5 linked regions of the Coturnix japonica genome follow. The protein of the gene in region 5 binds, or shares a complex with, the protein of the main gene of each other region. Links are inferred from orthologs where the notes say so. Each region holds a gene or a part of one and is shown on either strand. Other genes may lie near its edges.

Region 1 (5,021 bases), on a different chromosome or scaffold from region 5:
GAGACACTTCTTCTAGACCAGGTTTCTCTTTTTCTCATTTTTATTTCTAAACAGAAGCCTGGCAGAAGAATCACATCTCTCCTCCCTCTACAGTAGTTCCTGCTGTTTCTCCCCTTGCTGCATTTGCTGCCCCCTCTGCTTGAGGCACCAACTTGCTTGCTATAAATGGGATTCTGATGACCCTGAGAATATTGCCACTGCAGATGAAAGATAAACAGCACAAGCCAACATGATACTGAAAAATATTTTCTGTCATTCATAACACCCACTCAATAATAAAGAGTAGAAACAGAGAAGGAAACGGTGTTTTTAAGCGTAGTCAACACAAGGGCAGTTTGGCCATGTCAAAGACTTCTTAAATACCAAAAAAGACAACAGGGAAGTAAATTAATACATCAGAGCAGGAAAAGGAAGTCCTGAAGAACGTTTTTAAGTAGAGGTAGTAGTACAGGTACACAGATTAGGTACGTAGTTTAGCAAGATTTAGCGGTATAAAACAAGTCCTACTGTAAACTTACAGCACTACGTATTAAAAACCAATAAAAGGGTATATTTTTAACAATACCTCTTCCGCAGTTTTCCATGTGATTTCACGGACGCTTTGGTACCATTCAAACAGCTCTTCTACTTTATCAGTTGCAAATTCAACACACGGATCTTCTGGATTCTTAGGTTCCAAAATGAAGACAAAAGGCTTTTTGTGTTTCCCTTGTGGCATTTTCACTGTCAGGTAAGTAGCAAAAAGTTTACACTAAAATCCAGTTCTTCTATGCTGTCACTGTTAAACTGCACTGTTAAAGTCCTGGCCGCAATAAGTGCTCTTATGGGACCGAACAATTAGTATCAGAATCTTTTAAAGTATTGATAGTATTTGCTACATGAATACTAATAGCTTTCAAAGCCAGTTATTTTATGCTAAACATAAGGGATCCACTTCAGCACAGAAAGTTCAGGAGTCAACACGCACAAATCAGAAAGTACATACCAACATTGTACGTATTTAGCACCAAGATGCCGTGACACAGAGAGCCTAGAGGATTGTCCTCAATAATCTGTGAACAACATGAGATACAGCTGACACAGTCTTCTGCACAGAACATTAACAAATAATAAATACACACCACTCAATCTAATTACACTTTCATTGAAGGCATATCCACTGTAATATTTAAAAGGCAAACTAATTCTAAGTTTCAGGCAAGTTATAGATTAGATAAGCCATGTGAAATAAAAATCCATACTGGTATAATATACAAGAAAACAGAATCAAATCAGTTATCTCTTTGAGCAGTTTTCCTTGATGGACATCCTGACTAAAATGCTTGACAGCACAGAGAACAGTGAAGAATGCATTCATTTCTTTATTCTGCATTCCCTTAAACAAAGCATCTGAAGTCCATAAACCAGATTCACAGCAGGAAGTGTGTTCTCAGTAAACACAGAAGTCAAACCTTAAACCTCACCTGGCTTTCAAGCTCAGCAGAATTATCAGATGACAAGTCTTCAACGTAATTAGATGGAAAATAGTGTTGCACTTTTTCTCCATAATCCCCTTTCCACCTGAATTAAGACAAAAAGCATACACAGAGAAAAAAAAAATAATAGTTTAAGTGCTTCAACAGGCCATTAATGAGAAAATGATACCATGATTCTATGAAATAATCCTCAAGAAATTGGTCATTAATACCCAACAATAGCTTCTCCAGTTGGCAATCGCCAAGAATATAAGCGATGAAGTAGTTGCAAGATCTAACAAAGTGATCATTAACTGCAGTAACAGATCATTTCAGAGGGATTACAGCTACTGTATACTGCAATTAATGACTTAAGAGGCATTTCCCCCTCCACTACTAAAAATACTATTATGTGGTTGATTGCCCTGCAGAAACTACAGGGAAATATTAGATTCCCAAGCAATTTGCAAGGCAGCTAAGAAACAAAGCCACTGATGAAAGGAAACTATACAGACAACTAAATAAAATGGATTTCATTCCTGAGAAGTACTAAACAGAGCAAAAGAAACACAGTAATGATGACACAGGTAATAGATGCACAACTTCTCAGAACACAAGTGTTAAGGAAGTATTAAAGTAGGAACGGAGAAATAGGGGATACACTGGTATGATGAAGATTCTGCAAGCTGAGGCTAGTTCTGTAGGGCCAAAAACTATGTAAAAGACAGGAGATTTACATCTGATGTTTCTTGCTTTCATTTAGTATATCAGTATTAACATTTATAAGGCCTCATTTAATAAGCAGCCATCAAACAGGCATGCTTTTAAAAACACGCTATCCAAAGTTTAATCTTCCTCTCCCATCCAGTAAGCCACTAGAAGTTCTCCTACGAGGAATCTTTGTCCTTACCAGCCTCCAGTTTCCTTTGTGACATTATGAATGAGAGCTCCTCGACAAAAGCTCAATTCATCACTTCGTTTGGCTCTGTAGTCATACAAGGCTTTCACTGTTCTCTGAGGCTTTAAGAGAAACAAAGCAAACAGGTCATCCAGGGGGACAGGTCATAAAATGATCAATAATGCAATTTTATTGTTTTTAAGAGGAGGAGGAGAGGGTGGAATTGAATCCTTTTCTGTTGCTGTTACGCCTGGAAAACACAGTACTAAAGCTTCATAGTGACACCCACTGTTGGAAGCAAGTAATGCTACTTAACTGCTATTTTTCAAGTATCAGCTTGGGTAAAAAAGTGTTTTGTTTGGTTTTTGAAAAGCACTGCAACATAATTACTATCGCAAAGAAAAAAAGAAGTGTCAATCTTCTACACCATTACAGGTATTTATATACAGCTGGAGCTCATAGGCAAGTATACAGTCAGAGAGCTTCCACTTCCAAACCACATCAGCTATCCTGCTGCTCACATTTCCTTTAGGAAGACATCTAGTTTCAGCAGAAAAAATCATTGCTTTATCTTATTAGTACTCCAGTTCTTCAGTAGCAACTTAAATACATCAGCCAAAAAGACTAAAAGAAAATTATAGCCACTGAATTAACCAAACAGGTGAAGTTTAGGGGAATCCAGGAGGAGACCATAACAAGAATTAGAGGTGAGGAAATGTCTGCTGTGCTGCTTGGTATTAAATTTTGGAGCACACCTGAATAAGCACATGTACAAATCAAGCCACCTCCACAGACTAAATAGCAAGAAGTGCCTGAATTCCCAATATGGGTGAATCAGAACAGAACTCATTGTTTTCAGAAGTCTAAGAGAAGATCTGAAGGCCATCTCTCCAAACACATACCACTGTAGGGGTGATTTCACTGGGTTCCACGTACATCTTGACATCATAAAGAGAGTTTATATCTTTTTCCTAAAAATGGGAAAAAGGAAAAAAAAAGGTAAATTACAGTCATCAAAACTTAGAAAAATACCTTTCTGACAATAGAGATGCAAACTGAAGATCATAAGACAGGTGTCTGGCTTCCCTCTCCATCTCCATAGTTGAACACAGCTGAGCATCAATATTAACAATAATCACAAGGTCTAAAATTCTTTCTGCTCCTTTTAGTCCAGAAGAGACAGAAAAAAACAGACTTGAATTTCCTGAAAGATGGCAAATTCGTTTTTCCCTGCAGAAGAGAGAGCCAACTGCAGGTGAGGCTATTATAAAAAACAGAGCAGTATCTCCCATTTCATGGAAGAGCTTTTCTAATTAAATTATGAGGAAAGCAGAAGCCACCCTGTTAACGAAGATGAGGCTTTTTCCTTCGCATGTCTGAAAAACTTTTAGAGAAATCAGTGTAACTATCTTGATTTCACAGACTGCTTAAGCCTCCCTGAAGGACATCTATCACAGGCAAAACCAAACCCAGCTCCACCAGACCCAGACTTGGGACTCCATCTGCTAAAGCACTTGGCACTCATACAAAGGACATCACTTACTGTGCTGTAGCGCTCCAGCAGCTCCTCAGTCACAGGGTAACGCAATTTCATTTTCCTGTACAGAGGGTGCTTCTCATAGTATGTTACCAGCTCCACCAAACTCTCAAAGTAGGCTGATGTTCCAAGCACAAAATGGCGACCTTCTTGCTGAATTCGGAAGTGCTTCACCTTCCCCTCAGCTCTGTGAAACAAGTATAAGTGCTGTTGAAGGTATTGGTACTTGGCATAGCGAAAGCATCAGTGCTGCAAACTAGACTAAAATTGTTTTACGCATCTTAATCACGTGAAATAGTTTCTCCCTCTTCCAAAACATCTTTTATTCAAATAGAATTCCATTCGCCTGATTAAATTCATAAAAAGATATTCTGACTTTTCTACAACATACAGGGCCTCGGGAAAAATCCATGTTTTTGCCTAGATTAAATTTCCCTATTTTGTTCCTGTACACGGGGGTATTCTGTCACTTTCAGACGAACATAAATGTCTAGAATCAGACTGAGAGTCCCTTCGGAATCCACCGCTGCTGATCTGCCGCTGTCCCTAAGCAATAAGTCAAACTCACCTCAAACGCAATTTGATTTGAAGGCACAATGGAGAATACCATAATTCCATACATTTTATTAATGTTGTTATAGGCACCAGAGTTTCAAAAATATTTTCCCTGGCAATAAAAGCCTACAAATAGATAGAAAACACTGTTGTTTTGACAGATACCGAACGGATTTAAGTCAGTCAGACGACAGGGTGGAATTCCCAGAGGATAAAGAATTATTGCTGAACCAGCACCAGAAAGAAAGTCAAAACAGTGCTCTGATGCAGGGAATGTCAAGGAATTAAAGAAGGGTCACACACAGCTCTGCACTGCAAAAAAAGGGACAACTGGTGCCCAATTTTGTAAAGTTAAGGTTTATTCCATTGACAGTTTACTGCTGTACACTTTCTCACACAATTTTGACCACACGTGGTCTGCTATACAAATCAGCCATACTAATTACTCCGAATTTGACAGCATGGACTTTATGACTCAAAAAATAAACAATCATTTTTAAATGGAAGAAGAAAAAGAGAATAACAAAAAAAAACCCCACCCAGAACACTGTTGGCTACTAGATAATGTATTCACATC
Region 2 (5,618 bases), on a different chromosome or scaffold from region 5:
CAAAATTTGAAAGAAAATTGGTTTTTGTCAATGTTCTTCAGGTTTCTAGCAGCCACCTTGAGGGTTAGAAATCAGGTTGAGTGTTTTAGGCACTTCTGTCTATTATATTCATCTGCGTCATCAATTTGCAAGTGGTTGCCGTCATCTTGTAATGTAGAAGCGAGGACTAGCATACCTCCTGGCATCCATCATAGCGTGTGGGTCATCTGGGTTGACTACATCATTCTGATTGACTCTCACGGGTTCTCTGGGCACATGGGAAAAGTCCATTTGCAGCTGCAGCAGAGAATCTAATGCAGAGACCTTTCTCTGTGGGATCAGGATCTGGTGAGGATCCATTGGATCGACATCTGCACTTCTAGTGTTTCTGTGGGGTTCAGGTGTGTTGAATCGAAACAAAGGGATTTCATTTCTCCTGGACAAAAACTGGGAGTACGGTGGTGGATTCATACCAGGGAAGAAAACTTGCTTAGTTCTGCCCAAGCTAACCAGAAAATTGTGTTTGGGAGATTGGTACACATCATATCCATTTTCCAGTGTCCTTTGGTTGAACACACAGTCCTCTTGGCTGAAATAATGCTTAGGGAAGGGAAAGAAAATAAAAAAAAAGACAAACGTCAACAAAGGGATTTGGTGGAGTACAAGCACCTGTTAAAGACAAAAAGACAGATGAGACATTGCAGAAGGTGTTTTCTGATCTTCCAGGTCTGCAACTCAGACAACTCATGTTAATCCAGTACGAATGTCTGAATTTTCAACAGGAGTGTTATTGAGCCAACACTAGTTTCAGCAGAGGGCTGCATTGCTTGAACTACTGTGAATGTATACTGTAGCAAGTCTGCAAGATCTCACTGGATCTCTTTCTGCTTTCATATATTCCAGCAGGAACTCAGATGAACTCTTTATCAGGTCTACAATTCAGTGCAATCAAAGAGGAGAAAAAGTTTAACCTAAGCAGCAGGTTATCAGCTTGCCAAAATCTGCATCCTACTGCTGTACTTATACAGATTTGCTCTATGTGAGGAAATGGATCATATATAGCAGACTGTGCCTGTCTTTTACCTGTTAAAGGTAACTTACCGATCCAAAAATGTCTCCTTTCATGTCCATGCATAGGTAGCGTCCACTCTTCACACCTGTGATTATCACAGAGCCAGCACCCTCAGACTTGATCATTAAGGCACCTTTTTGAGAAAGCAAAGATGTCAAATCCAGAATCCCATTTGACACCACACTCTTGCCTTGCTGGTCCACATGCTGATTTGAACCCATCTTCTATGTCAGCTGGGACTATTGAGCTCCTTAGATCAGGTACGATGTGGCTTTGTTTGATCCTTGGAAAGTTCCTACAGTGGAGATGCCACTACATCTCTTGATCTGATCTTGATCTTTGTCTGAACCCTTGTTCCAGTGCTGCACTAACATTCCAAAGAAATTTTTTTTCTAACATCCCAATTGAAGCCTCAAATTCCACTCTGGGCCAGTTTTTCCTTTGTTCTGTCTCTGGCCATGACCAGAGGGAGTCTGACTGCCTCATCTTTATGACTGCCTGTAGTGACTGCCCCATGGTATTCACTTTAAACTACTTTTTACCACATTAAATAAACTTAGTTCCCTCAACATTTTCCAAAATTGTTTATGTTCATGTTCAAGGCCACTGACTATCCTGAAAACTCCCTGCTAGACCAGTTCCAATTTCTCCACGTCCATCTGAAACAGAGTTTTTTTACATAATAATGTAAAAAGACCAGGTTCATTGGTGCTAAGTAAAGGCTGAAAAGTAATTTCCCTTGACCTGCTGACCACAGTACATGGCTTGCCATCTTCTTAAACTGAGTGTGTGCCCTCTGTAACCCTTAGTTCCTGCCCAGAAGGGCTGCACACATCCAGCCTCCTCCCAGCCTGCACAGCACTTTGGACTTTCTATTTACCTGGAATCTCACTGCTAGTGGTGACCTGGCAGAAATTCAGTCACCTTCCCTTTCATGACCCCACTGACTGATTTCAACCCCTCCTACTCAATCCTTCCAAATATATGTGGATTTTTTTCATTACAGATATGGGCAAAACATGGATTTTTACTGGCTGTTTTCTCTTTTGCTTCTCTCTGGTTATAGCCCAGCATGCCAAAAAACAAATTTTATAAAACCCATAGATGTATGGGAAAAATAACATTAAGACAGAACATACATTCCTATAAGTGTTTCATCAGTAATTCCTTAAAAGAGAAATACGGGAACTTGGTTATTTTTTCTCTTTGATAAATTAAACTTCTAAAATTGTCTTTTGTTCCTTATATTATTTTGCACAAGTATTACAAGATGTGCTTATTAAATATAGTTGTGTGGATGAAGGGCATGTTATGCAGTAGTAATAAAAATGACTTTATGATGCATAGCTACTTGTGATTTGAGTGCTGTTAAAAGAGAAGCAATTTTGGAATCCTATCTAAGAATGATTTGTCCTAAAAAAAAAAAAAGACAACCAAACCAAACCAAACTACACTTTCTTTCTTTTTCTTTTCTTTTTTTTTTTTTTTTTTAAACTAATGAATTTGTTCAGGCAGGCATCCAGCAAAGAATACCTGCATTTTCCATGAAAATAAACTACAATGGAACCTTTGAGTTACAAAAGGGAATAATTACCTCTGATGGACTCAGAAGGCTTAGCACTTCTTAACTACAATCTGGACTTTCACAGTTTCCCCCCATTTTATCAACTGTTGCACACTCAGTTACCCACATTCCATGCACAACTAAGTTTCTGCCATGCATCTGCATTAAAAACACATAACTAAAGTTTCTCTTATAAACCAATCTTCAATAAAGAGTGGTTTTGATACATTTGGAAGAAAATGACCTAATTTTAGTAGATCGAATATCTCCACCCCAAAATATGTTATGACCATAATCTGGTTTCCACAACTGCTGTGGTGATTTTTCTCAGTGCAATGCTATCATTGCAGTGGAAATGTAATCACTAATAAAAAATTCCACAAGAAACCATGGGTAAAATCATAAAATGAAGGATAATTCAGGTAATTTTTGCTTGCAGAGCATCACAGGAACCACACAACTTTAGTCATCTTAGACAAAGATAACTACCTGTTATATACCCCTTGTACCCCTTATGTATATACCTCTTCCCCACCTGTTATATTTCTTTAAAGCAAAGTATTTGTTAAACAAAATGAGTATTAGAATTGTGTATGTTTTTGATCCCATAGCTCTGCTCCTCTCTTTGTATGCCTGGCAAGATGATGGAATTTTGTATAGGTATAGAAAAAGCAAAAGTCTTGATCCCCCTCCCCTACTCCCATGAAGACAGAGGGTCCATAATAAGCTACTTACTGTAAATGGTTTGGTGAGGAACACCACTGATGTGTCCATCAGCATTGATTTGGAGATGGAAGCTGTTCCTCTCTGTAGAAGTGTACAAGTGCATCAGCTGATCTCCATTCCCCCAGCTGGGATTCAGTAGTGGAGAGGAGTTAGGGAAGGCAACTGCAGCCTTCAGTATACACAGCACAAGCAGCGCATACTCCAGGCAGCTGCAGGGACTGGTGTGTGTCATGGTTCTCAGCTCTTAGTGGCTGTTCCGTATCTGAAACTTGATACTCCTTTGCGCTTTTCACTTTCCCTTGTTTGTCTGTGTCTGCAGCAAGAATCCTCAGATAAGTTCCCTTCTTTGCAGGGCTTTATGAAGAGCAGGATAAGTGACATCACACAGGAAAACAAAACAAAACAAAACAAAAAAACTTGTCCACATCCTTGATTTTTGTCAAAGCAACATTTTAAGTTTTCCAAAACCTCAAGGGAAGGAAAGCACGTAGGATCTCTGGGCAAGGTGTAGGGGGAAGAAATATAAGGTTTCTAAAGACAGCTCACCAAAGCTAATCATATGTTCAAATGTTATCGACAAACTTGTGACATCTTAAAGTTTCCTGTGCCTCTACTGTTAAATCCAGAAAGAGCAATCCACTGTAATTTCTGTGAAGAGAAAGGAATGACCCATTAAATTTATTGTGTTTTTTTTCCCCTCAGATTTAGATTTCTACCTCCTCTCTTCATTTCTAAACTACATTCTGATTAGTTGAAAACAGCAAATTAAAACCAAAAACACAAGTTAAAAAAAAAAAATCACAGATCCATCATAATCTGAGATTAAATTGTTCTGGGTCTGTTCCTTCATTATGGTGTGACTTTAGCAGTGAGTTTGGCGGATTGATGTCTGTGTCACCTCATTTAAGCAAGTGAAACTTGATGTGCACACACCTCACTCCAACTAAGCTCTTCTTTTTATTGCTCCTCTTTGAATCACTTAAATAATTTGGAGTTGACCAAACAGCTGAAGATCAGCTGCAGAATACTTAGAATCTGAAGTTTGTTCCCTCATTGCATGTTTGGTTAGTGGTCTTTTAGAGAGCCACATAGGTTAGCATGGCTAGAAGATCTAGGATCTGAATCAAAAGTAAAATCACTCATAATGGCACATTTCTATTGATTCAGGTATAGCAAACAAGCTTGGGATGTGAGTAAATTGAAAAGAAATAAGTGTAAAGTGATGTTAAAATGGTTTCAAGATACTATATCTGCTTTTTCGTTTGTCCTGTCAATGTACAACAGTTCATCAGCAACTTTTTTGATTAAGAAACATATATTGTTCTGCTTATTGTATAGAAGTACTGTACTAAGGGGATGCTGGCTATACAGATTAAGCAGCAGTGATAGGAATACTTGTGACAATAGGCTGTATTTAGCTGTTGGCTTGTTTGTTTCAGAAATGAATACAGAATGAAAAGAGCACAAAGCAATAACTGAATCACTTCTTAAGAAGACGCCTGGAGATTTTAAGCATAACAGTCCTAGATTCACTGCTTTCAGGCAGAGAAGTTAGTAAGTTACAGGATTTAGTTAGACACTGTGAAATTCTTAGTCCCATCAACAGCTGTGGAGCAGTGCCATCAGCACAGAATACAGCTTGATAAAACTACCATAGTAGATCTGATTATTTTTTAAGTTTAAAATTAGTAGAACTCTGCCAAATTCTTCTATCACACCTGTGTAAATCTAGAAACTTGCACCTGTGTAAATGGAAGCATTTATTAGCCAAAGTGTATAAGGGTCAAGCTGAGCGGGCAGACAAAACTGTCTTTACTCTGAGGCAATCAAGGCTACAGATATTTCAATGGTTATAGTGTCTGAAATGTTTTTTCCATCTTAATTTAAAAGCTATCTAAGAAGAAAAAGAAGCTTTTTTCTTTTCTTTCTCTTTTCTTTTCTTTTCTTTTTTTCTTTTCTTTTCTTTTCTTTCTTTCTTTTCTTTTTTTCTTTTCTTTTCTTTTCTTTCTTTTCTTTTCTTTTCTTTTCTTTTCTTTTTCCCTTTTTAAGTGTATCTATTTAGTGTTAAAGTTATTCACTTTTTGTTTGGGGGGGGGAGGAGGAGGGTGGAGGGGTCTGGTATTCAAACATAAGTATTTATATTATTATTTTTTTTTTCTTTTTCTCTGTTTCATTTGACTGCTGTAGAAATGTGGATATAAATACCTCAGAAGCAGTTATAAAGGTTTCCACAAGAGGCACGTTTTTTAATTAATATTATTTGTGAATGCAGTTTTT
Region 3 (5,021 bases), on a different chromosome or scaffold from region 5:
GGTGGGTCTAATTATGTAATTAAAATAAGCACTCTTCTGTGTGCTTTACTGAAGCTGAGCTTTGCTGAGGAATATTTTGCTGAATCTCAGTGTTTGATACAACTTAATGTGAGAATTGCTTGAAATCTCAAAGCTGCAACACTGGCTATACTAACAGTTGACAGTAGACTCTTACTTTAACCTAAAAAGTGTGTGGAATCTCACAAAAGCCAAACAGATGACCTAGAATATATATGTTTACAAATCTTTGAATATTTAAGCTGGAAAACTCTATGCCATAAAATATATGAGGGGATAGAATTAACAGTCTTTACCCAAAAATGTTGTCCAGGCTTTCTTCATCTATATTAATAGTGGAGAGGAATGGGAAAAATGAGACTGTCTGGGTTTGGGGACCAGGTAGTGCTACGCTGGTGACACTTTGGCTCTGGGAGAGCTGCAGCACACGCTTAGCAGAGCACAGCAGTACTGGCTCAGAGGCTGCACACTGTTCAGGCACAGCATGCCCTGCTCCAAGGCCAAGTATTGGCACACCTTGTCAGCAGGGCTGCTTGATCTGCTGCTGCATCACTACTTTTTTGAGTCTGGATTCTTTAAAGCCAAGTCAGGTAGTTTTGCTGACTTGCATAGCATGCCCGTGTGCTGACAGCCTGTCCCAGAGCATCCTTGGTGCAGCTGAAGTATCTTTCTTAAGTGGGCTTTAAAGCAGACCCTAAGATTATACTTATCTGACCTATTGTTCTTATGAGTAAATACTGCATACTTTGCTGATACAGTATAATCTACTCAGGAAAAAAAGAGCCCTGCAGTGAGTTTGGGTTTTGTTCTTTCCTCAGCCATCCGGTACGATGGAGTTAATGTGTTTGGATACACAGTCTGGTCCCTCCTGGATGGCTTTGAATGGCACAGGGGATACAGCATTCGGCGCGGATTGTTTTATGTTGACTTCCAAAGCCACGACAAAAAGCTGATACCAAAATCTTCTGTCTTGTTCTATCAAAAGCTGATAGAAAAAAATGGCTTCCCTCCTTTGCCTGAAAACCAGCCCATAGCGGGAGTCTTTCCCTGTGGCTTTGCCTGGGGGATTGTTGACAACTACATTCAGGTAAGTCTGACGGTGCAGCCAGTAGGTTCTCCAGCCAAACCACTGGACAAGATCATGTTGGTAAATTTGCTGAACGAGGACTTTGCTGGCATATATTACTACAGCACTGCAAGGAAATGGGTGTAAGACTTACAGCAAACACTGTGCCTTTCATCCTTCACTAGACTTTCTTTGTGTGACCAAGGAGAGCCGGTCTAGCATACAGTCTAGGAAAGAATGACCTAGAAAAACGTATAGAAGGGAAAGGGTCTGATGCGCTTTCTTGGATATGTTGAGTGATGTGTTACTGAAGTCAGTTCTAATTCTATTTAATGGAAGTTGCTTAGATGTGCTAAAGCGTGTTTCTAAAGGTCCTAATTTATGAGACTGAGAGTGTCACTACTCTTTCAAGTCAATGGCAATGTGTTTGCCTGCTGTGGTTATGCATGTTATAGAAAATTTCCTGAAAACTCCCAGTGCTTAAAATGGTTTGTTTCCACATCTCATTTGTATACACTTTGGCACCCTTGTTAGAGGACTTATGTGTTAAAAAGAAAAAAAAAAAAAAAAGTAAATTACTTGAATTTAGATAAAATTCCTGTATTCCTTCCTTGCCCTTTAGTATAGAACTGTGTCTGACTGAAGCTTCAGCGCCCCTGGATAACACGCAGACTGAGTGAGGATCCAGTTCATAGCTCTCACTGGTTTTGTTTTTGCTAAATCTGATATTTCAAGAGAACCTTTCAGACATTAAGACTTCATAATGTGTAAGAACTGTAGCTTAGTTACAGTCTCTAACTGTTAGGCTCTGTAATTTGTAGGCGCTGCTTTGGCTTACAGGGCTCCTCCCACCACAGTGAAGATGTGCAGTTAAATTCAGCTCCGAGTATGGGTGCAAGAACAGTACTTTTAATTTAAGTTATCCTCAAATACAGAATATTTCTTCAGGCTGGAGTGTAGGGATTGTTTGTTTTTTCTTACTCCAAAACTAAGATCAAACTTTGTTCTCTTGAAAAATATGGCACCCTCCTTATCTGATACATCGATTTCCAAGAAAATTCAACAGTCATTATCCTCCCAGCTCGTAGATAGATTAGGGACTGGAAATGAAATTGCTGCCTTTGGGATCAATAACTGCTGTAAAGTTACAGAGTCAGTCAGCCTAAGACAGGTAAAAATCCCCCCTATCCCCTAAACCTTCAAAGCTGAATATTTTCATTTCAAAATGCTGTCCAAACAGTTTGTGCTGGTACAGCTTAGGTAGCGTGATTTGTAGATGCATCACAGTGGAAAAACTCTTTTGACAGCATTCCCAGAGTATTAGTGGAAATGCATGCTTTAGTAATCTACAAGGGACAATTCTCCAGAAAAGCAATTTCCCGCAGACACGCTGTTTTTTATTACTTTCTTCTATAAGCACTGCACTGACCTCTCCGGAGAAAATAGCAGCTGATTTTCAGCAGCTCTTTATACAGTCTGCAGTGCCTCAGCTACGAGTTGAACACTGGTTGTAGGCTGACACCTGCTTTTCAAACAGAGGGCAGGACAAGGAAATCTTAACTCTGGGGAGCCTTGCGCTAGGAGAGAGACAGGGACAAATAAACAGATATAAAGGAACAGCACCTTTATGTCTGGATCTTTCTTTTATGCCAGATTATAAAAGAGGATTTTACTTTGTGCAGTATTTTGCATAATTCATTTTTCCATTTTCTAGTCCTTATTATGTTTGTGATACTCACTTAAATTTGAAATTGTAATTCTGTGGGACTTGGAGGAGCTCCTGTCTTATTGTCTGTTGCATGTCATAACAGGCACATCTGACATCTGAAGCCCTAAGACTTACAGGAAAACTGCTTATTGTGGGGTGACATATAGTAATAGGACAAGGGGGAATGGTTTCAAATTGGGATAGGAGAGGTTTAGGTTAGATATCAGGAAGAAGTTTTTCACTCAGAGGGTGGTGACGCACTGGAACAGGTTGCCCAAGGAGGTTGTGGATGCCCCATCCCTGAAGGCATTCAAGGCCAGGCTGCATGTGGCTCTGGGCAGCCTGGTCTGGTGGTTGGTGACCCTGCACACAGCAGGGGGTTGGAGCTAGATGATCATTGTGGTCCTTTTCAACCCAGGCCATTCTATGATTCTATGATACTCAGAGGTCTGAAAAAAAAATCCATCAGAAATTGACATCTTGCTGAAATAAGTTGTAATTGAGTTCTGTACAATTAAATGAAAAAGGACTTCTTTAGCAGGAGAGAAAAAATTTGCTTGTCAGCTGAATTTGTGCTAAAAATCAAGTGCGGAGCTTTATACGTCCTGCATCATAGTCACAAAGAAGAAAAAAAAGACACAGAAATGATGTTACATTCATTATTTATTTTACTCTGCTCAAGGAGTGGTCTTGAAAGAGAAGCCAGTGGGTAATTTACATCAGCCAGAACCTTTGGTGTAGCTTAATCCTGAAAGAAAAACATATTTAAAAAGCCTGTAGCTTTTGCTGCAGATCTGCTTCTCTGGAGATCTGCTGCTGTTTTAATGCTTTAGCCCTGAGCACTCCCTCATTTCTTTGAGTACTGCAGCAATCTAGAGATGGCATAAGCACAGTAACTATTAGCATAAGCTTGTATGGCAAATAGGATGAAAAAGATGTGTAGATTTGGTACTGTTCCGGCATCACATGTTAGCAGAGAATTAATTCTTTCATATGAGCCCAAAATGTTACTGTATCAGAGATCTGATAAGTGCTACACGTACTTTTTGTCTTGCAAAGTTCTGTCAGTGAGTTGTGCCTGATGGTAATGATGTTCCCACACACCTAGAACAAACACCTTGAATCTGCTGTGTTTCTGATTCTACCTAGGTAGACACAACTCCTGCACAGTTTCTTGACCCTAATGTTTATGTGTGGGATGTTCACCAGACAAAGAAGTTAATTAAAGTGGATGGAGTTTTCGCCTCCAAACGCAAGCATCACTGTGTTGACTTCGCTGCCATCAGACTTCAGATCTCTCTCCTGCAGGAAATGCACGTCACTCACTTCCATTTTTCACTGAAATGGTCTTCAGTCCTTCCTTTAGGCAATCTCTCTCTAATCAACCACACACTTGTCCATTATTATCAGTGTTTTTGTAGTGAACTTCTCAGAGTTAATATAACTCCTGTTGTTGCTCTCTGGCAACCTATGGCTGAGAATCAAGAGCTTCCAACATCTCTTGCCAAATATGGAGCTTGGGAAAACTCAGAAACTGTTCAGGCTTTTGTTGAGTATGCAAAATTCAGCTTTGCAAGTCTTGGGGACCATGTGAAATTTTGGATCACAATGAATGAACCGTCTGTGAAAAACTTGACATACACTGCAGGACACAATCTGTTGAAAGCCCACGCAAAAGCATGGCATCTTTATGACAAAGAATTCAGGAGATCTCAGAAGGGTAAAATATCTATAGCTCTGCAAGCTGACTGGGTAGAACCAGCTTGTCCCTTTTCCAGGAATGACCAAGAAGTTGCTGACAGAATTTTAGAGTTTGACATTGGCTGGCTTGCAGAGCCCATCTTTGGCAACGGTGACTACCCACATGTGATGAGGGCATGGCTTCACCGGAGAAACAGCATTGACCTGTATAATTTCCACTTGCCTTCTTTCTCAGAAGATGAAAAGAAATTAATCCAGGGCTCATTTGATTTCTTTGCCTTAAGTCACTACACGACTACCCTTGTGGGCTGGGAGAGAGAAGATGCACTGAAATATGACCACTATCTTGAAGTTCAGATGATCAACGACATCACATGGCTGCACTCCCCCAGCAGAGCTGCAGTAGTGCCCTGGGGACTGCGTAGAATTCTCAGATGGGTTAAATCAAAGTATGGTGATGTCCCAGTTTATGTTATGGCTAATGGAATTGATGATGACCAGAATATTGTGCACGATAAGCTCAGAGTA
Region 4 (5,710 bases), on a different chromosome or scaffold from region 5:
CCAGGGAGGTGGTGGAGTCTCCTTCTCTGGAGATATTCAAGACCCGCCTGGACGCCTACCTGTGTGACGTGGTGTAGGGAACCTGCTTTGGCAGGGGGGTTGGACTCGATGATCTCTAGAGGTCCCTTCCAACCCCTACAATTCTGTGATTCTGTGACTTGTCAACTGAGATCCAGGTGAAAAGTTTGGGGATTATCCTGGGCCACCTGAGTGTGAGCAGCACAGTAAGAACAGCTCACATGGCAAGAACTTCAGTGCACTCCAGATGGATGCGAAAGCGTTTCAGAAGAACAAATAGGACATGAAACTAAAGGATTCAGAAACAAGGGAAGGAAATAGTAATCACAACAACACTTCCGCTAATTAGGAAAGAATACATACAGTCATTCTCAAACATGCAATAATCATGACATTGTGTTGTATAAACATCAGAAGAAAAGCTATTAGTTCTCTTATTAAAGCGATTTCAAGCCTGAGGGAAAGACTGAAATTCTAGAGAATCACATGGCTCCAGGAAAATGGGCTTTAACAAAGAGCCAACTCAATCAGCTGCTGTGATTGCTGCCACCCAGACTGAGACAGTGAAGAGGAATCTGAAGAGAGTGCTTTAATGGAGAATGCTTGACATGCGCACCCACACAAACGGATGCTTACACACTTACATGAGGAACAACTACACACCAGTTTATAATCTGTTCAGGTCTGAAATGAAAGTTTACATATAGCTCTGATTACACAGAAAGGGCAACAACAACAACAGAAAGAAAAAAGAAAGCGATGCTTAAGAGTGGACGAGGCAAAGTCTGTTATGTTATACCTGCTCCTGTACCACTTCTGCTCAACTGATAAAACACCTGCCTATGCTGCATGGAATTACACCTCTGGACAGCAGTTTTCAACTGTCTGAAGCCAACAGCATTAAGTCTCAGGTCAGCCTCAGCATTTTCATCCTTTGTTGTTACCGTCATTCAATTTACTTATTATTGCAGAACATCACGCAGGTTTCTTTGCACATACTGGTAACTATCTTCTTTTCTCAGTCTTTATGTTTAAAAGCTCAATGCACACACACAACAAATTCATTGTCTCAAAAATCCGACAGATGAACAGCAGTTATAAGACTCCTCACTTAAAATCCCTTCAAAATGCACACTGAAATCATAGTCGCACTGCCACAGATTAAAGGATCTCAGATTTTAAGCATGCTGACAAACCACAACCAAACGATGCATCCAGACCCTCCGTGCTCAACCCAAGCTCAGCTTCACCAAAGTCAGCCAGGATCAAGCACACTCCAGGCTGGCACAACTCATCCCCATTGCCAGAAGCAACCTGTTCCCCTCACACCCCATTGGGTGCACCTCGACCCAGTGCTGCACAGGCACCGGCCTGTGCCTAGGAGCTTGAGAGCAAAGAGGACCAACTGTATCCTCCTGTGGTGGAGATGGTCCATGACAGCAACACATTCACACGAAGTAGTTGAGTCCCAGCTGAAGTCCCACAGTGCTGGCTACAGGTCAAGGCCCAGGCAGCCCTGCTCTTCCCCTCAAGCACGTGAGTCCCACCACCACTTTCACAAAACACCCCGTCCCTACCTCACAAGGATCCAGCCCAGAGCATCATCAACCAAAAGACACAGAACGAATCATAGAATGGTTTGGGCTGGAAGGGACCGATCCATATCCAACCTCCTGACGTGGGTAGGGTTGCCATCCACTAGATCCAGCTGCCCAGGGCCCCATCCAACTTGGCTTCAAACACCTCAAGGATGGAGAATCCCCAGCTCCTCTGGGCACCCTACAGAACAAGCCACTTGCCGTCACCAGCCCAGCTCCACAAGCTGGCACTCCCAGCACAAGGGGTAACCAGGGGCAGGCTGAAAGCAGAACATCCAGTCTTAATCCACAGCTGATGCTGCAAAGTGCACCTGTGTACCGCCCTATTTTACATTTCAATTTGCCACAGCAGCTCAGCGTGATGATTCTAATACATTTCTTTTGGAGTTCAAACGTCAGCAGCCTTGTAAACCGCTCTGCTGAGGAATGAATTTCAGACGCCACTCAAAGAACTGTACTGCTCAAACTGTGAGACTCAGGGCTCATAGAAGTGAATAGTGCTGACTGCAGGATCAGATCCCCTACTAAGCATGGACATCGCTGCTTTCAAGGTGATCTTCGAGAAGTAAATTATTATAAGTAGTAGTGCACACTGACTGCGAGAAATAACCTTGCAAACCTACAAGCAATTACATTTATTACTGCATTGGTAGATTGAAAAGGGAATCGTGAACAATTAATTTTGACTACAGCCAACCACCAGCATTCGAGACAAGACACTGAACTGGAAAGTGAGCAAAAAGCTGCTTAACCAAATATAAATACAACCACTGGGACATTGTTTCAACAAGCATTTTCAAAGCATTCTTGATACGTAGGCAAATAAACCCAGGGCTTCTCAGTCAAGAAATAACGTTCTTAATCACTTTCCATTTGTGATGCAGGGAATATTTTTGGACCTGAACTGGTGACTCACACTGATATCAATGCACATTTGTCTTGAAGCAGGCTCCAACACCGCCCGCAGGATGGCTGTGCTGCTCAGACACACTTGTAAACTGAGGGAAACAGCCAGGGAGCCTCGCTGGCAGTTCTGCTGATCCAGACAAACAAACAGATCTGAATCTGGATTTACTGGATCTGAATGTTTCTTCATATCGACCCGCTTCTAAAGCAGAGATGAATCTTAGGGAAATTAGGTTTTTGTTCTTTTAAATACAAAAGTACTGCAGAGCCAGCAGTATGGACTGAATGAGAGTCATCATACAGAATGATTTATCACTAACACTGTTAAAGCAAGATACAATACGGCTGTGCTTTCTCATTATGCTAAATGTCACTTTGTCACTAGCACTATAAGTAAAATAAAAAGCTAAGAGACAGCACGGTGTCATCTCTTACCAACTGCCCAACATCATCCTAACCTCTTCTCACCATCACCACCCCTCGTGCTTTGATGCTGAGCAGGACACGGAGACCATGAAGCCAAGAAAGCGTCTCTGTCTCACCACGGCTCGGGCAGAGAACCGATGCAGAGCGGTGCCCAAACCCCTTCCGACCTCCGTGATCCCCCACATCCACATCGCAGAGAGCCGGGAGCAGCGGCCCAGCTTGACAGCTGGCCATGTCCGACCCGTGGCACCGTGCAGGCCGGGCGGGCACGGCCGCTCCCGCATTCCGCTCCTGCCCCCGGCAGCCCCCACCGCCAGCCCGGCCCGGCCGCCTCCGCTTTTGTTCCGACCCCGCTCCCTCCGTCCGTCCCCTCCCGCCCGCGGTTCCCGGCCGCAGTCCCGCCCGCCCGCGTCGCCCCGCCGGCCCCGCACACTCCGGCGGGGAAGGAGCGCGGCCCCGGCCGCGGGGCAGGGGCGAGGGGAGCCGGCCGGGCGCCCCGCGAGGCGAGGCCGGGACGGGGACGGGAGCGGCGCCCGCACCCACCTCCGCCATGAGCCCGCGCCGGCCGCCGAGCCCGGGGCCGGGCCGCCTACCACGGGCGAGAGGCGGCCCCGCGTCCGCGGCGGGGAACGGCGGCGCCTCCCGACAGCGGCGGCGACAGGGCCTCGCTCTGGGCCGGACTCAGCCGCACAGCTTCCGGAGCACGGCGGGAACGCCTTCCGGGGCGGCACGGCCCCGCCGAGCCCCGCTCGGGCTCCTCACCGCTCCGTGTGGGTCCCTCAGACGGTGCCGGCTCACAGGCCGACGGGCGCGGCGGACACGGGGCGAGGCGGCTTCGTAGTCAGCGGTTGAACGTGAATGTCCGTTGTCTCTTTGACAGTTCAGTTCTCCATCTTCTATTGGTTGCTGGTCCTATCTACAGTCATTTTTCATCATCCCAGACTGAGATGACTGCTCGTCCATTGAGATGCGCTATAGATGCCATTCTTTTGAAGACTGCTTGCAACTGTCTACAAATTATGAACCAACGTTGCTTTAAGTCACAGAATCACAGAATGACCCGGGTTGGAAGGAACCTCAAGGATCATGTAGTTCCAACCCCCTGCCTGGCAGGGCCACCAAACATACACCTTTACTAGATCAGGTTGCCCAGGGCCCCGTCCAACCTGGTCTTGAACACCTCCAAGTTCTTTGATGGCATTTTCAGTTCTGTTCTACATCACTCGGAACTTCCTTTTAATCAGCTTTGAAAGCAGAGACAACTTCTGTACACTGTAAGATTTATCATGGAATTTGGCCTTAGATTATTGCCCTTGCCTGTAAGCTACTTTAAAAATTAAAGACTATTCAGTTCTGTAATCAAGAGAGCAGCCCAACCGTATGTGAACTGTTATCAGTAGATTTATCTCATTAATAAAGTTTTGCCTTACTCATATTCTTAACTCCTGGGTCTGACAAAGAAGGAACTCTGAGGGGATGGAATGCCAGATTGCATTTCTGGAGTGTCCTTTGGATTCCATCCCATTTCACGTCTCCTCTAGTGGGCAGCCCTTTCTGATCAGCAAGAGTTGTGTACACTTCAGCATCAATACTGATCAAAGCCTTGGAGATGGATACCAGTTTCCATCCTAAATGTTTCAGCTACACACTGAAACATAACAGGCACCACCTAACTCAGCTGTAGGTGAGGGCTGTTATATAATGGTTCCTTTCAGGGTTTGTGACTCAGCAGCAAAAGCATGTTCCTGGCTGAAGTGTGGTACAGCATCTCGCTCTCTTTCTCTGTTGTAAGATGCTACCTAGGAGTGGAGTTTTATTCTATCAGTTCCAAAGTCCATTTGACACTAACAAAAACTTATTAAAAACCAAAAAAACAAAAAACTCTATAGCAAACATTTCAGGAGCTGGAAAACAGATTTATAAAGAGAGAGAGCGGGACTTATTGTGTTAGCTGAACAGAGCAACACTGGTCACATTCTGCCTCTCCTCATGTGTGGCATGCTAAGTAGAATGACCCTTTGTATGTCAAATCAAGAAGTTGTTGTTTTCACAGTCAAACAAAGCCCTTGCATACAGTAATGGCCATGTAGCAGCCTCTTATGGCCCGATCTGCTCTTCTTCAGAAAAAATCCTATCCCCAGGGAGTTCATACTATTTTTTTTTTTCAGAAGAATGAAACTGAGCCAATAATTTAAACCAGTGGCTCACTGCTTCATTAATAATTTCATCATTAGTTACATTGTCAACATTTCAGTTAAAAATGAAAGAGAGAGAGAGAGAGAGAGAGAAAGAAAGGGAAGGGAAGGGAAGGGAAGGGAAGGGAAGGGGAGGGGGGAAGGAAGGAAGGGAAGGGAAGGAAAGGAAGGAAGGAAGGGAAGGGAAGAAGGGAAGGGAGGCAGGGAAGGGAAGAGAAGGAGCGAAGGGAAGAAAGGAAGGGAGGAAGGGAGGGAAGGGAAGGGAGGGAAGGGAAGGAGAGGGAAGAAAGAAAGAAAGAAAGAAAGAAAGAAAGAAAGAAAAAGAAAGAAAGAAAAAAGAAAGAAAGAAAGAAAAAAAGAAAGAAAAAAGAAAGAAAAGAAAGAAAGAAAGAAAGAAAGAAAGAAAGAAAGAAAGAGAAAGAAAGAAAGAAGAAAAGAAAGAGAAAGAAAGGAAAAAGAAAGAGAGAGGAAAGAAAGGAAGGAAGTGAAGGAGGAAGGAAGGAAGGAAGGAGAAGGAAGGGGTAAGGAAGGAAGGAAAAGGAAGGAAGAAAGGAAGAGGAAGGAAGG
Region 5 (5,615 bases):
GTGAAAACACTGATGGAGTGTGAGCCATTTATCAGCGGTTGGAAGGAGGAGGTGGGAACGCTTCATGGAAAGAAACAAATTCAATGGCATTTCTGGAAAGTATTTTCTGTCTCTCTGAGGTTTTGTTTATCAGCACCCCCCGGAACATGCCCTAATGTGGAGTGGCTACAGCCCCCCCCCCCCAGCACGGTGCACACAGCGGCTCCCAGCAGTGAGTCAGGGCACAGAGTGGGGCTCAGCTGCAGTGGGGCGGGCGCTGACTCAGGGGCCGACAGCAGAGAGTTTCCATTGCAGCAGGGATAGTGATGCACGCGAGGCAGAGCAGCCCAGGAACCCTCCAACCTGTGCACACAATGCACAGCTCCGCTCTGTGTGCAGATATGGATCCCCAAAGGAATCTGCTTGCTCCAGCCCCAGCGTGAGTTTCCAGCTCCTTCCATGCAAGCACTGTCCCTGCACGCTGCAATTTGCTGGTTGGGGTGGATTCAAGTGACTAAAAATGGAAGCAGAAAGCGAGGAACCAGAGCTAAGGGCCCCTTAGAGACCTGCAATTACAACGGCCACAACACCCACGGGGCTATTTAGGAGCTGAAGGAACACCCCTATGCCCACCTGTGCACGCTCCCACCCCAGCACAGCCTTTGCCCACATAGGTGCAACCTGCCAGCCCTGCTGTCCTCAAAATGACCCCGGACCTTCGCCCTGTGCTGTGAGTCAGGGCTGAGTGAGCTGCACATAGGATACACAGCCCAATGCTGAGCAGAGAACAGTGGGGAAACCCCTTCCCAGCATATGGCTCATCCCTGGGAAAGTGTCCAAGGTGAGGATACAAGCAGGGCCACGGCACCGGGACACCCCAGGTGGGAATGGGGCTGGGAGGGTCACCAGGACATCCCTAAGGGGCTCCATTTGCTCCACATGGGGACCCTGAGGTGATGCTCCCACCCATGGGCAGGAGATGGTGACCACAAATGGGAGACCCTGACAATGATGTAGGATGAATTTGGCTCCAAGCCCCTCCATGTGCCCTTGCAGCAGAAGGGCACAGCAAAGGCAAAGCTCCTGGTGGCACAGGGAACCTTTTCCTTGCCCTGCACTCCTTGACCCAACCGCCCGCTCAAAACCAAGTATTTGCTGAAATAAAAAGCAAACACGACTGCAGATGTAACTATAGGGAAAATCAGTAATGCTTAAAGCAGACGCATGCTTGGAAAAATAAATATCCAACTGTGCGGGCTGCATTCAGCATTAACCCTTTGCAGCCACATGGTGCAGCCTGTTGCACACCAACGGCTCCAGCACTGAGTTACAGCGCACTGCGTGCATGCAGTGATGTGAATGGGGGTCTGGTGGGGCACAAGGCTCAGTAAAAGCAGATCAGGTTTAAAAGAAGGGATGCCCACCTGGGGGCTTGATTTTCAGGCATGCTGATCCCTCAAAGGCTGCTCCATGCTGGTAGTGCTGAGTGCTCCAGCAAAGAGCTGCCCTAGAATGGGACACAGGGACACAGCCCCCACCCCCTGTTAGAGGCAGAGTAGTTACCCAGCTGGGAGGGAGCGGGATGGGGTTTGCTGCACTCAGCTCCTCCCAGGAAAGCTACTGCGGGCGGAAGGACACGCAGACCTATCCCCGCTGCTCACATTTGCCTTCATCCCCAGGAGCAGAAGGTCCCAATGAGGGTAAAGTCAAACTGCTGGGACAAGCATCTGTGCTCCAGGCCCGGCTGAGCAATGGGGGCTTGGAGATCCTCAGCTCCCAATACACTTCATTTGTTTTCAGGTATATAAACAGAGAGATCCCGTTTGCACCTGAAAGTAGCTCGGGCTCCTTCCCAGTGGGCGCAGTGCACACAGAGCACAGCGCTGCTCCTGCCGGGGCAGGGACGATCCTCATTTGTTTTAATCCTCACTGAGCAACACAAGAAAGCAACGGTGCATGCCAGGCACGGTGGAGATTAAGGGAGGAAGTGCTCCTGTGCGGGGAAAATGGCTGCTGGCCGGAGGGAGAGGTGCGGGGTCCTGCAGCATCCCGGCCGGGCACATCCCGGGATCTCATGATTGCAAATCAGTGCCGAGCACAAAGCTCCATCTCCCTGTGCCTGGGAGCAGCCTCCAAAGCCGCAGTTTTGTTAACGCAAGCACTCGCTAAATCGCACTTTGGAGGTCTGGCCGTTGAGCCGTGACGCCCGGAGCACCGCCGAGTTATCCAACAATCCACACGGCGCTCGGCTCCGCTCGCTGGAATCCGCCTCAAATGGACACTCAGCGCCGCTCGTTCCCCGCGGCAACCGCCGGCCTTAAACCGAGAACCGAACCGCTGTGACCCCACGGCACCACGCGGAGCCCCGCGCCCATCGGTCCCGCACGCATCAGCCCCGCGATGTCGCCAATGCTGCGGCGTAGGCGGCCGCCACGCTGCGCACACGCAGGAGCCGTTCCCCGATGCTGGCAAAGGACGCTCCGATCCCCTTCACCTCCCACGCCAACACGCACAAAGATCTCAGCCCGGCTCATTTCCATCGCCTCCGCAGCCGATTTGTACCGAAAAGGCCCCGACATCTCGAGTTCCAAACGCAACAATCCCAGCTCCTTCTCCATCTTCTTTTAGAAACCTCCAGACTCCCGCCCAGTAACTTTTGGCGGCCGCAGGCCGGGCAGAAGCTCCGGGCTCCCACCGGATCCTCAACACGGAGAGTCCCGGAGCTCGGCACCGAACCGAGCAGAACGCACCGACCCGAGAACCGGGCACCGAGCCACCGCGCCTCCGAAGTGCCGCCGGGCGGCTGCCCGGGGTGCCCTGGGGCTCAGAGCCGAACCCCCTCCGCACACACACCGAACCGCTCCGGTGTCCTTAAACCCTCCGAACCTCCGGTACCGCAGCCCCGCGCCCTCGGTACCCGCAAGCCGCAGCCCCGCGCTGCCCGCAGAGGGGCCCCGTCGGGCCGCCCCCCCCGGTCGGATGGGGATGGCCGCGATCCCGGAGCGATCCCCCCCCCGCACGAAGCACAAATCGCGGCCCCGCTCCCTCTCCCCGCACTCACCGGAGTCCCGCGGGGCGGCGGCGGAGGCGCGGTGCCCGCCGCTCCCGGGAACAATGGAGGGGAGCCCCGGCCGGGGCGAGAGCGCAGCCCCGCCGCCGCCGCGTTCACTGCGGCCGCCCCATGGCGGACCCCGGCCCCGAGGTGGCGGCGGGATGCGCTCCCGGGAGGCGCGGTCCGCCCCGACGGCCGCCGCTCAGCGCTGCCCGCACCGCCGCGTCCCCGCCGCGAGTCGCCGCCGCCGGACTGAGCCGCTCCCGCAGCGCCCCGCCGCCTCCCGCCGGCTCCTCCCCCGCCTTCCTCCCAGCCCTCCTCCTCCTCCTCCTCAGCGGCCTGATGGGGCTTGTAGTCACCGCCGGGCCGCCCCCTCGGAGCCCCCGGGGCTGAGCTGCCGGCAGCCGCCCCGGAACGGACTCTCGGGAGTGGGGCGGGGGGGGGTTTGAAGGCGGCGGTGGTCCCCGAAAACTCCGCTCGTGGAGCGGGGGGATCGCCGGATTGTTGCTCCGTTGCTCTCGGCTGTGACTCACCCCATTGTGTGCCCTACACTGCACACAGGGAGCAGGTGTGGGGCAGCCCTGTACCCCAGATCTTCTGCTTTGCGACACCCCGGGCACCCTACCCTTATCCCTACCCCTAACCCACATCGTGGGGCCGATTTGTATGGAGTTTCCATACCCAACACCTTCCTGGGAGCCACCACCACTGCTGCAGTTTGTGCTGTGCTTTTGGGTAACCTCTCCCTGAGCTCTGGTGCTGCCCTAAAGCTCAGCACCCCAAAACATCTCTGCATACACAGGCAGCATTTGTGCTGGATGCTCAAGTTGAGGACATGGAGGTGTATGGCCGTGCCATGAAGCCCAGCCTGGCCTGACCCACAGATGGAGCTCAGCTCTGGGTGAGCTCCCCAAAACTGGCCCAGGGTTCAGCCCAGCAGCCCCCAGTCAGCTTCACACCAAGGCAGCCCAGAATGAAGACATCTCCTGGCTGGCAGGGAAAGATCTGCGCGAGGCAATGTGCAAGTGATTAAGTTATAACAGGGAAGAGGACAGGCTGAATTAGCCCTGTCAATCACCATCGCTATATTTGAACCAAATGCTGGGCATCCATCTCAGGAACAGCCTCTTGCTGCTTCAGGCAACTGTTCAGAGTGTTGTGCCAAGACCTACGAATACTTTCTTTCCAGGATGACAGATGTGTGGACAGAGGGAGGGGAAGGTACCATGCGTTATTCCCTTGGCAAACTGAGGCTGCTGAGAGCAGGAAGCACAGAGGCAGGCAGAGGAATCACGTCCCTTTTGCTCTTGTGATGGTTTTTCTGCTGGATTCCATCAACAGACACTGGTAAATGGGCCCTTATGAGCAAAAGAACTGGCAGACAATAGGAAAAGCATCCCCTGCCCAAGGAGGCTCAGGGGTATATCCACATCCCCAGCATCAAACTGGGGCTCAGTGTGGGAATGACCATGAATTATCATCATCTGGTGGCACAAGTGGAGCATAAATGGGTCCTATTGGAAGAGCAGGAAACCCAACTCTGCCACTGAGAGTGATGGAGTCTGCTGGGACATTGGTGGGCACAAGGCTGGGGATGGTGCCTCAGTGCCCCCTGCCCACCCGGGGGGTTCTCCATGTGTGGCCATGATGTGCCATTCCATCCCACGTTATCAATGCAGCCTCAAGGTGCTGCAGATGGGGATTTCACAGGAACCCGGGATTGTTGTTGAACTGCTCTTAATCAAGAACAGCATGAGGATAAAAGGGACGTAAGGCTCCGTTGGCAGAACAGCCCACAGGATCTGTGTGCATGTGCTGCTGTGCTTGGGCAGCAAGGGAAGAACTGAAGGTGCTGCTGGGAGAATAGGGGCTGCCCTGACCTTCGGTTTCCCACTTAAAGATCCGCAGATCTCCCCTCCTCCCCACCACAAAGGGGCTCCTTTCAGTCCCTACTTCTGCATTTAGAAAACAAAAGCAGATGCAGCCAGTTTGGGTTTGGAGGGGGGGGGAGGCAGGAGCAAATGCTGAATAACAAAGAGCTTTCCCTGAAAGATCCGACTGACAAAGACTTTGCAGCTTCATCCCTCCCTGAAAAGGCCTGAGCACATCTGGTTCTGCCTGGCTGTGGGTCTGCCTGCCTGCAAGAGGGGCTGTGTGTGCACACGTGTGTTCTTTGCAGCGCATACATGAGTGTGCTGGAGGCTGGATGTGCACCGAGTATGCACCTGTACCAGGGCAATGTGTGCATTGGGTGGGCTTCAGGACAACCAGACCATGCTCTAATGGGAGCCTGCACCAGCCCCATCATCTCTGCTCTGCTTCTTCCTGCCACGCAGCCTTTGCAGGACCACGCACTGCTCTGAAGAGCTTCCAGGTGTGCTGCCGACCTGAGCAAACCTTGGAACATCTGAGTCACAACAAGCAGCTCAGCCACTCTTTCCCAAGGCTGGGGCTCTCCAGTTGCACAGCTCTATGTCTGGTGAACCATCAGAAGGAGAAACCCAGCCCCAAACCCAGTCCTGGCCACCCTGCCACCGGCCACAGGGACACTGTGGACCTGGCAGCCTGCAGAACACCAAGTTTC

The links.
Region 1: the proteins of FGFR1 (region 5) and PLCG2 are in contact, whole or in part, in a cryo-EM structure (PDB 8JQI), measured with the Homo sapiens proteins. The link is inferred for Coturnix japonica from reciprocal best matches to the Homo sapiens genes FGFR1 and PLCG2. Residues at the interface, in NP_075598.2 of Homo sapiens: Lys504, Asn506, His541, Lys542, Lys598, Ser602, Tyr605, Gln606, Arg609, Glu612, Tyr613, Ser616, Lys617, Lys748, Asp755, Arg756, Val758, Ser762, Gln764, Glu765, Tyr766, Leu767, Asp768, Leu769; in NP_001412678.1 of Homo sapiens: Phe528, Arg540, Thr568, Phe569, Pro570, Asn571, Phe577, His585, Cys586, Arg587, Arg589, Ser590, Thr591, Met592, Gly595, Leu601, Thr602, Asn604, Leu622, Arg623, Cys624, Ala625, Glu626, Phe627, Glu738.
Region 2: the proteins of FGFR1 (region 5) and FGF23 are in contact, whole or in part, in a cryo-EM structure (PDB 7YSH), measured with the Homo sapiens proteins. The link is inferred for Coturnix japonica from reciprocal best matches to the Homo sapiens genes FGFR1 and FGF23. Residues at the interface, in NP_075598.2 of Homo sapiens: Glu159, Lys160, Glu162, Lys163, Lys164, Leu165, His166, Ala167, Val168, Pro169, Lys172, Gln244, Asp246, Val248, Glu249, Arg250, Ser251, Pro252, Val279, Tyr280, Ser281, Asp282, Pro283, Gln284, Pro285, His286, Ile287, Ala314, Gly315, Val316; in NP_065689.1 of Homo sapiens: Leu31, Leu32, Gly33, Ser34, Trp36, Gly37, Tyr43, Ala45, Thr46, Ala47, Arg48, Asn49, Ser50, His52, His66, Ile75, Arg76, Ser77, Glu78, Asp79, Ala80, Gly81, Val83, Val84, Tyr93, Phe108, His117, Gln118, Thr119, Asn122.
Region 3: the proteins of FGFR1 (region 5) and KL are in contact, whole or in part, in a cryo-EM structure (PDB 7YSH), measured with the Homo sapiens proteins. The link is inferred for Coturnix japonica from reciprocal best matches to the Homo sapiens genes FGFR1 and KL. Residues at the interface, in NP_075598.2 of Homo sapiens: Asn272, Gln288, Leu290, His292, Ile293, Asn296, Gly301, Pro302, Leu305, Pro306, Tyr307, Val308, Gln309, Ile310, Leu311, Lys312, Glu322, Leu326, His327, Leu328, Arg329, Asn330, Glu334, Asp335, Thr340, Leu342, Leu349, His351; in NP_004786.2 of Homo sapiens: Ser539, Gln540, Phe541, Asp543, Leu544, Asn545, Val546, Tyr547, Leu548, Trp549, Asp550, Val551, Lys555, Arg556, Leu557, Val560, Val563, Thr565, Lys566, Arg568, Tyr571, Val573, Ala576, Glu625, Arg628.
Region 4: the proteins of FGFR1 (region 5) and FRS2 are in contact, whole or in part, in an NMR structure (PDB 1XR0), measured with the Homo sapiens proteins. The link is inferred for Coturnix japonica from reciprocal best matches to the Homo sapiens genes FGFR1 and FRS2. Residues at the interface, in NP_075598.2 of Homo sapiens: His409, Ser410, Gln411, Met412, Ala413, Val414, His415, Lys416, Leu417, Ala418, Lys419, Ser420, Ile421, Pro422, Leu423, Arg424, Arg425, Gln426, Val427, Thr428, Val429, Ser430; in NP_001036020.1 of Homo sapiens: Asn25, Val26, Asp27, Asp28, Leu33, Leu47, Thr49, Arg50, Asp53, Ser54, Val55, Trp57, Leu60, Cys61, Leu62, Arg63, Arg64, Tyr65, Gly66, Tyr67, Asp68, Ser69, Leu71, Ser73, Phe74, Gln81, Thr82, Ile86, Phe87, Ala88.

The regions. Positions count from the first base shown.
Region 1 is NC_029526.1:13,917,507-13,922,527, reverse strand, and holds part of PLCG2 (1-phosphatidylinositol 4,5-bisphosphate phosphodiesterase gamma-2), read right to left. Parts: intron 4,077-5,021; coding exon 3,896-4,076; intron 3,324-3,895; coding exon 3,255-3,323; intron 2,475-3,254; coding exon 2,365-2,474; intron 1,561-2,364; coding exon 1,464-1,560; intron 1,053-1,463; coding exon 986-1,052; intron 724-985; coding exon 566-723; intron 1-565. UniProt on the Homo sapiens protein: The production of the second messenger molecules diacylglycerol (DAG) and inositol 1,4,5-trisphosphate (IP3) is mediated by activated phosphatidylinositol-specific phospholipase C enzymes. It is a crucial enzyme in transmembrane signaling.
Region 2 is NC_029516.1:67,143,919-67,149,536, reverse strand, and holds the start of FGF23 (fibroblast growth factor 23), read right to left. Parts: upstream 3,696-5,618; 5' UTR 3,574-3,695; coding exon 3,351-3,573; intron 1,185-3,350; coding exon 1,081-1,184; intron 580-1,080; coding exon 142-579; 3' UTR 1-141. UniProt on the Homo sapiens protein: Regulator of phosphate homeostasis. Inhibits renal tubular phosphate transport by reducing SLC34A1 levels. Up-regulates EGR1 expression in the presence of KL. Acts directly on the parathyroid to decrease PTH secretion. Regulator of vitamin-D metabolism.
Region 3 is NC_029516.1:155,891,472-155,896,492, reverse strand, and holds part of KL (klotho), read left to right. Parts: intron 1-836; coding exon 837-1,105; intron 1,106-3,941; coding exon 3,942-5,021. UniProt on the Homo sapiens protein: May have weak glycosidase activity towards glucuronylated steroids. However, it lacks essential active site Glu residues at positions 239 and 872, suggesting it may be inactive as a glycosidase in vivo.
Region 4 is NC_029516.1:32,157,900-32,163,609, reverse strand, and holds the start of FRS2 (fibroblast growth factor receptor substrate 2), read right to left. Parts: upstream 3,638-5,710; 5' UTR 3,492-3,637; intron 1-3,491. UniProt on the Homo sapiens protein: Adapter protein that links activated FGR and NGF receptors to downstream signaling pathways.
Region 5 is NC_029537.1:3,724,245-3,729,859, forward strand, and holds the start of FGFR1 (fibroblast growth factor receptor 1), read right to left. Parts: upstream 3,245-5,615; 5' UTR 3,041-3,244; intron 1-3,040. UniProt on the Homo sapiens protein: Tyrosine-protein kinase that acts as a cell-surface receptor for fibroblast growth factors and plays an essential role in the regulation of embryonic development, cell proliferation, differentiation and migration.